Cricetulus griseus: one gene and its partner. The protein of the gene in region 1 interacts with the protein of each later gene in a pairwise test. Links are inferred from orthologs where the notes say so. Each region holds a gene or a part of one and is shown on either strand. Other genes may lie near its edges. The genes, in order: Plaa and Ubxn1.

Evidence for each region.
Region 2: the proteins of Plaa (region 1) and Ubxn1 interact in binary tests that used the Homo sapiens proteins (3 or more experiments, as listed by UniProt). The two-hybrid records come from large-scale screens. The link is inferred for Cricetulus griseus from reciprocal best matches to the Homo sapiens genes PLAA and UBXN1.

What each region holds. Positions count from the first base shown.
Region 1 is NC_048595.1:54,235,755-54,239,567, forward strand, and holds part of Plaa (phospholipase A-2-activating protein), read left to right. Parts: intron 1-1,792; coding exon 1,793-1,962; intron 1,963-2,376; coding exon 2,377-2,534; intron 2,535-3,461; coding exon 3,462-3,681; intron 3,682-3,813. UniProt on the Homo sapiens protein: Plays a role in protein ubiquitination, sorting and degradation through its association with VCP. Involved in ubiquitin-mediated membrane proteins trafficking to late endosomes in an ESCRT-dependent manner, and hence plays a role in synaptic vesicle recycling.
Region 2 is NC_048596.1:51,222,774-51,227,324, forward strand, and holds the start of Ubxn1 (UBX domain-containing protein 1), read right to left. Parts: upstream 2,808-4,551; 5' UTR 2,733-2,807; intron 2,649-2,732; 5' UTR 2,622-2,648; coding exon 2,563-2,621; intron 2,452-2,562; coding exon 2,398-2,451; intron 2,310-2,397; coding exon 2,203-2,309; intron 2,101-2,202; coding exon 2,031-2,100; intron 1,287-2,030; coding exon 1,095-1,286; intron 1,007-1,094; coding exon 955-1,006; intron 603-954; coding exon 486-602; intron 1-485.

The DNA of each region.
Region 1 (3,813 bases):
GGTTGGAGGTATAGCACGAATGGTAGGTATGATGGGGCTTACCTGTGGCTAAAATTCAAACTTGGTCCTTTTAGTGCTTAGGGTTAAAAGATTGTATCTCTAGAGCAAGACATGATCAGATTTAAGTGGAATTTATGAATTACGGAAAGGAAAGCAAACTAGAAATGAATTGTACTAGGAGTATGTGGTTATAAAACACTGACAGTACTAATGAATTCATTCATGAGAAAATTCAGAGGAAAAGCATAAAGCTTCAAAAGTATAGTGTGTGGTAATCCCCATTAATAAAAATAGAAAAATGTGAGAATTAATTTAGTTCATAAAGAATACTTGCCTTTAATCCCAGCCCTCGGGAGGCAGAGGCAGGCAGATTTCTGTGAGTTTGAGACTAGCCTGGTCTACGAGAGCTAATTCCAGGACAGCCTCCAAAGCCACAGAGAAACCCTGTCTCAAAAAACAAAACAAAAAGGTAATACTTTGGTTTAAGGCTTGTTGAATCTGAGTAATGCCTTGCCACACTGCAGGTAGGTCCTAAGTAGCCAGATTGAATTCTATTGTAAGTACTGGGCCTAAAATATATATACAAAACTGTCCCTGAGTGAGGAAATATAGAGGAGGGACAGAAGACTAACAGTGAATCCTGTGAAGTACTCTGGATATGGGAAGGTCAGTAGGTTAAAAAGCACACAGGATTCCAGATGTCAGAATCCAGGGAAAAGGAAGAGGTTTTGGAGGGAGCTTAGCATCAGTGTCCTAAGTTCGTAAGAGGTTGAAGAACAGAAAGGTAGAAAAGCATTTGGATTCATTTTGAAAGATGGTACTACCTGTAGTTGCTGTTACATTTTAGAAGAAAATTATAGGGCAAAAAAGTAAAGGAAATGAAGGGATACTTGATAAAGGAAAAGACTGTGACTAGACAGTGAGAGCTAGAAAAAGATGGCAGCTCTGAGTGCAGAGGATTTAGTAGACCTCTTATTTTGGGTTGGGGCAGGGATTCATTTGTTGATGTAGATATAATAATAGTTCATGAAGCTTGGTAACAGTCAAAGGAAAATTTGCCAAGAAAGTGAAATTGACATCAGTAGAAAATACTACTATTTTCTATACTTTCTACTATTTCTATATTTATAGAAATAAAGTATTCTATAGAATTCAATTGAATTAATACAGTTTAAACTAGACAATGTGACTTTCCCACTTTATTCAAATTGAAAAAATGCAGTCATAAGACTAGAATATGTTCTTGAGAATATATAGGTTGAGTACTACTATTTAGCCAATCATGGAGCTGAATTTTTCTTTGAGATTATTTGAGTATATTGAACACCTGCTATATGATAAGCCTAGGCTGGGTCTTTGAGCATTTTTAAAGTTAACTGTCCCAGTAACCCTTTTGGGGGGGGGCTGTTTGTTTTTTGTTATTTTGGTGTGTGTGTGTTGTTGTTGTTTAGTTTTGTTTTTGTTGGGAAAATCACACATTCAAGGTTGGCCTTGGCTATGTACAAATACCTGCCTCAGTGGTAGAACACCAGCCTAATAGAAACAAGGTTCTGGTGGGTTCAGTCACTGGCATTTTTTTAAAAAAATTAAAAATTGTATTTAAATGTATGTCTCCTTTGCCAGAAATTTCTTTAAATAGCGGAAATAATACTGTATGTTATAGTCAGCATACTTCTTCACAATAAGCAGTGATGTTTTTCATATTTGTGCATACAGATAATGTTTGCTTTATTTACAAGAGGGAATGTTAATAAATGGATCAGTGACTTAAACTAGTTTGCTTTTCTTGTAGTGATGGTATCATTAGAGTGTTTACAGAGTCGCAGGATCGGACAGCAAGTGTCGAGGAAATCAAGGCTTTTGAGAGAGAGCTCTCTCAGGCAACTATCGATTCCAAAACTGGTGACTTAGGGGACATTAATGCTGAGCAGCTTCCTGGGAGGGAACATCTGAATGAACCAGGTAACTATTAGAGTAATTGTAGTTCAGGTGGTGGTGGTGCACGCCTTTAATCTGGAAGGCAGAGGCAGGCAGATTTCTGTGAGTTTAAGGCTGGCCTGGCCTACAGAGTGAGTTCCAGGACAGCCAAGGTGACACAGAGAAACCCTGTCTCAGGGGAACCACACTTGCCATTTGGAATACCAAGAGTAATAAGGGAAAATGTTTTGTTAATGTTTCTTTTGTTCTCAATGCCAGATACTGAGACTTGAGGGTTTTTACTGTCACACATAACTGATAAGAGAAGCCATGTTCTTTTTGCACATTTTACTATTTGAACTTGGAAGCATCCACAAAAAATACGTTAAAATTTGTCGTAAGTGCTTTTGGATTTTACTCTGCTAGTCAGTCTTTGATTCTTAAAATGTTTGTTTTAAGGTACTAGAGAAGGACAGACTCGTCTAATCCGAGATGGAGAGAGAGTTGAAGCCTATCAGTGGAGTGTTAGTGACGGGAGGTGGATAAAAATTGGAGATGTTGTTGGCTCATCTGGTGCTAATCAGCAAACATCTGGAAAAGTTTTATATGAAGGGAAAGTATGTCTACTGCTTTCTAATTATTATTTTAAACTATACAGAAACTTAGTTTTCTCTGGTATTTTGACATTTAGAAGTACATTATTGTAAGAAAATTATCTTCTGTCTTAAAGTAGATTTAATATATACAGATAGATAGATAGATAGATAGATAGATAGATAGATAGATAGATAGATAGATATGGCTGGAGAGATGTCTCAGAGGTTGAGAGCGCTGACTGCTCTTACAGAGGTCCTGAGTTCAATTCCTAGCAACCACATGGTGGCTCACAACCATCTATAGTGAGATCTGGTGCCCTCTTCTGTCCTACAGGTAGAACACTGTATACATAATAAATAAATCTTTAAAAAAATAAAATAAAATAAAATAAATATATATATGAATATTTTAAATATGTATCTATATAAAATTTTTATGTGTAGAGAAAGCTGTATATAACAAATTAGCCATTATTTATCTTTAGACTTTCTCTTACAAAAATGTTTCCAGTCAGTTTGGATTAGGAGTTTCTTTTATCTCATGCTTCATGCCTGTCTCTGTTAAACTTGGCAAGACATGAGGGACACTGTAGGGCTGTGCTTATGTGCCAGTATGTCTTGGTTAGTAGGACACCCTAAAAGCTAAAAATTTTGACCTTGAGATCAACCATTTGGGAACCTTCTTTTGAACCTAGAATTAATAAGTAGTTATAATCAGGTCCTCATCTCAGCCATCGCCTTCCCAACTACTAATGAAACACTAATTTTGTAACAAATGCACACTTTGGCTCCTTCTCTGCCAAATAGAAAGCCTTTACCATTGCATTTTGGAGAAAGTTTTAAAGTCTAAATGGTTAGAATAAAAACACATAACATCTGTGTTATTTTATATGTTTTAATGTATTTGAACAGTTAAATTATCTATCTTGTTTTCTGTTTTCATTATAGGAATTTGATTATGTTTTTTCAATTGATGTCAATGAAGGTGGACCATCATATAAATTACCATATAATGTCAGTGAGGATCCCTGGCTAGCTGCATACAACTTCTTGCAGAAGAATGATTTGAATCCCATGTTTTTGGATCAGGTGGCTAAATTTATTATTGATAACACAAAAGGTCAAACGTTGGGACTTGGGAATACCAGTTTTTCAGACCCATTTACAGGTGAGTTTGGACTTGTATTAATTCTTATGTACTAACATTAGTATTAGGGGTGTGTGTTTGTGTGTGTGTGTGTGTGTGTGTGTTGGGGTATTTGTTTTGTTTTAGTGGAGCTATTAAACAATGTCTTATGCA
Region 2 (4,551 bases), on another chromosome or scaffold:
GAGGTCAGCTTCATCTTCATAGTGAACTCCAGGACAGTAGGGCTGTACAGCAAGACTCAGTCCCAAAAGTAAAAGAAAGTCTGGAATGGTGGCATATGCCACTAATTCCAGCACTCAGGCAGAAGCAGGGTATCTCTGCTTCAATAGGTGATGAAAAGGACTCCAAGCTACCTCACAATCAAGAAAAGATAAGATGGAACTATTTTTAAAAAACAGAATAGGTGCTGTATTATGAAAACAGCTGTGTAATGAGTCTAATGAAAACATTGTGAATAAATTAAAGGGTAACTGCTGAGTAAGAATGACGTATGTATTTAAATAAGACAAGCAGGTGAAATTCAATCACTCCTAAGAGTAGAGGAGATAGGATTTCAAAAGTCATGTACAAAGAAGGAAGAGATTTGGCAAATGGAACTTAAGTTGGGCTGGGCACCTTACAGGCCAACACCCAGTTCTAGGAGCAAGACAGTGCCCAGAAAACATACCTGTATGCGACACTGGTCATACTCCCGCTTGGTAGGGGGCTCCTGGCTGGGAGAAGAAGGAACAGGACCTGGATCTGTTGCTGGTGGGGATGACTGAGAACCCACACTACTACCATACTGGAAGACAAAAATAAAACGCTAGCTGAGTGGTAGCATACTAGTCTGGCATGCATATATATATATATATATATATATATATATATATATATATATATATATATATATTTCAACCTTCAGCACACAGACAAAACAAAACAAACCCACCCAGCTTCAGTGGCTCACACCTTTTATTTCCAGCACTTGGAAGGCTGAGGCAGGAAAACAACCAGAAGTCTGAGACCAGTCTGGGCTACAGAGTAAAACTGTGTCTCAAACACACAAATCATGCAAGCACATGCTATCTCTTGAGAATGGAAGAGGAAATGAACCCTCCTACACCATTACACCCACAGGCTTTCTCATCACCCACCTTCTTGGCTCTCTCTGCTTTGTCCCTTTCAATTTTTTCTCGGACCCTTTGTCTGGAATGCAGACAGGAAGAAAAGAGGTCAGAGATGGACAAGGGAAAAGATTTCCTTCTCAACGACCAACAACCGTCAACACCCAGACCTGGCAGCTAATTCTTCAGCCTTTTCTCTCCTGCGCTCCTCAGCAGCACGGCGCATCTCGTCTTCCTGTAGTTTCTGCCTTACGGCTGACAGCTCTTGCCCTTGTCTCCTCCGCTGCTTTTCTCGTTCCAAAGCTTCTCGCTCCTCTCTTTCTTCACGTTCCCGCTGCTTCTGGGCCACAAGCTCCAACATTCTGTTTTACAGAGAAGAAAGAGCTCAAATTGGATATGGAGTGGGAAGTTGAGTTTAAACAGAGAAATCTTAACAAAATAAGGGAACATGTGTTCCAAGACAGATGAAAGGAAACAAAACCAAAACAGGAATAAAAATAAGGGGGGGGGGGGCTAGGAGCTTAGCTCAGTGGTGAAGCACATACTTGGCACGCAGTGCCTTATAGTTAAAAAGGCGGGGAGGGGCAAACGAGAGCTAGATATAGTGGTGCACACCTATAATGCCAGCACTGCAAGGCAGAGGCAAGAGAATCAGCATTTCAAGGTAATCTGAAGTCACACAGGGAGTTTGAGACCAGCCTAAGCTACATCAGACTGTTTATGTTTCTTGGTGGCTGTCTTTTGTTAGTTCGGTTTTTTTTTTTTCCAGAACCTGGAAGGGTCGGGTTCTCTGATCAGACTTGTGTTTGCATTGGAGAGGAAGGAAGATGGCCCTATGACCCTTTGGAAAGTGAGTCTATAGGCTAGATATGATGGCCCACCTGTAACCCCAGCACTCAGAAGAATGTGGCTTTGAACTTGGCCTGGGATAAATACTGGATTCCAGGCCAGCCTGAAGTACACAGTTAGAACCTATCTCACAAAACAACACAGGACCTAGCGGTGAAAGCCTTTAATCCCGGCAATGAATCAGTTCTGCCTGGGCCAGAGAGGCAGGCGGGCACCAAACAAAACACACACACACAGTCAAATTGCCGGTTACCTACCTCTTAGTCTGTTCTTGCCTCTCCTCTTCAGTCAAAATGGGTTTGCTTTCTTCAGCAGCAGACCCAGATCCTACAAACAAGCAACCAGTATTATTATTTGTAACAAAAATCATTCTGTTTCCTCAGGCCCTCACAAGACGTCTAGAATCACAAGATGTCTCCCAGTCAGGACCTTCAGGGCCAACTTGCTCTGAGGACGTGGGTTCCCGTCCCAGGATATGGCCGAGGGGAGTCTCTAGAGGCTCGTCCACATCGGGGTCGTCTTCGTGCTCCATAAGCCTGGGCAGGGAAAGTGGGCAGGGGGTTAGCCTGGCGGCCGCCCTTCGCAGCGGCCCCCAAACCTCCGCCACGGGGGCCGGTCGCTCACCAGTCCATCGCAGCCTCGATGCCCTGGTTCCCTGTGAGGGCCAGAGCCTTCTCCCTGGGGGCAGAAACACGGAGAGTAGCGCCCACCAGCCATGGTGACAGTCGGGCCGGGCCGGGCCAGGCCCGCGGCCCCCCACCACGGGCCCCTGGGGGGAGGCTCCCTTACGCGCGTCCCCTGGGAAAGCCCATCTCGATGAGGCTCTCCAGAGCCGTCAGCTCCGCCATGGCGCCCGCCGCCGCTTCCGCGGGGACCTGCGGGGACGAGAAGGCAGGCGGCAAGGGTCAGCCCGGGCGACTCCGCCCGCGACGCCGCCCTCCCGGCGCTCGCTAACTCACCGGGTTGGGGACCCGGGGGCGGGGGTGGGGGACACTGACGGAGGAGTGCGGAGGGGAAGCGGAAGTGCACCGTCTGTTTGGGTCACGTGGGAGCGGGGTGGACGGGTGCCGGGAGGGCCACAACAGTTCCGCCTGGTGGGCGGGGACATCCGCCAACCGAAGCCGACTGGGAGACCCACCCACGAGGAGCTTCAGAGACTGAGAAGTGGGCTGGCTCGGCGGGTGAAAGCATCAGCCAACCTTGACTGTATCAGTCCGCCTCCCAGGACCCACGTGGTGGAGGCAGGAGGCAGGAGAAAAACAGATCTCTGCTAGTCGTCCTCTGACCTACACACGCATTCATGATAAACAATAAACAATGTATGCAATCAATTTTTTTCTCTATTTCTGTTTGCTGTTTTGTTTTTGTTTGTCGAGACAGGGTTTCCCTGCATAGCCTTAGCTATCCTGGAACTCTCTGTAGACTGAAGGGACTCTAGACAGCCCAAGCTAAAAACCGTTAGATTACATTCCTAAAGCTAGCCAACATGGTCTATTCCTTTATTTGGCTACTTCCTCCTCCTGAGGCTGACTATCAAGGTCCAGTTATCAAAAGTATTGGAGTCCATTAATCAAAAGCTCCTTGTGGCTGCCCTAATTAACATGCCCACTCAAAACAAACCAACTCATTCTAATACAGGGTTTCCCATTTTACCTTTATACACTGCTGTGACATCTGCCTCTTTTCTATCCAGAGGCAGTCCTTTGACCTCCCAAGTGCTGGGATTAAAGGGTTGTGCCACCACCTCCTGGCTTTTTTTTTTTTTCTGTTCTCCTTCCTTCCTTCCTTCCTTCCTTCCTTCCTTCCTTTCTTCCTTCCTTCCTTCCTGTCATTCTTTCTTTCCCTATGTCCTGGCCATGCTCACACTCAGACTCACAGAAATCTGTCTGCCTCTACTTCCCGAGTGTTCTGGGTTAACGGAGTGTGGTTCCACACCTGGCAGTGATGTATGTAATTTAAAAAGAAGAAATTTTGGGGGTGAAGAGATGGCTCAGTGGTTAAGGACACTGACTGTCCTTCCAGGGGACCTGGGTTCAATTCCCAGAACCCACATGGCAGCTCACAACTGTCTGTAACTCCAAGATCTGACACCCTCACACAGACATACATGCAGGTGAAAGACCCCAACTTAAGCCTAGCCTGATACCCACCAGCATGTATTTGGAAATCACTCTGTACCCCCCCCACACACACACACAGCTCTGGGACAAAAAACACATGAAATGGTCGGTCATGATGACCAGTCTCTGGAAATTGTTATTATTACTAGTTTCTATTATCTTCAACAACTGTCTGGTTTCTAAAAATTGTTATGGGTTACCCTGCTCCAGAGCACCCAAGTTTTGAAAATAAGTATAAGTCACTCTGTTCCCAGAAAAACCACTAGCCGTCCCATAGCCTTGCAGGTGTAAAAACCAAAATAACATTCCAAACCCCTCGTGGGCAAAATTGTAAGTTCAGTTCCCAACCAATTAGTAAATGACTCATGTATGTTATAGCCAATCAATATGTTGTCATACTCCTGCCTAATGACCAAAAAGACATAAAAACTGCCTGCTTTGGAAACTCGGGGCCATTCTCTTCCCAGGGAGTGACCCCAATGCGTTGGAATAAAATCCTTTTGCTTTTGCATCGAGCCTGTGTCCTGTGACTCTGTGGGGTGTGTCTCCCAGAGTTGGACTTCACTTTTGGGTCCAACACAGGCAAAACACCAATGCACCTAAATTGAAATAAGTAAATTAAAAAAAAGAAGAAGCCAGTTGGTGGTGGTGCACACAG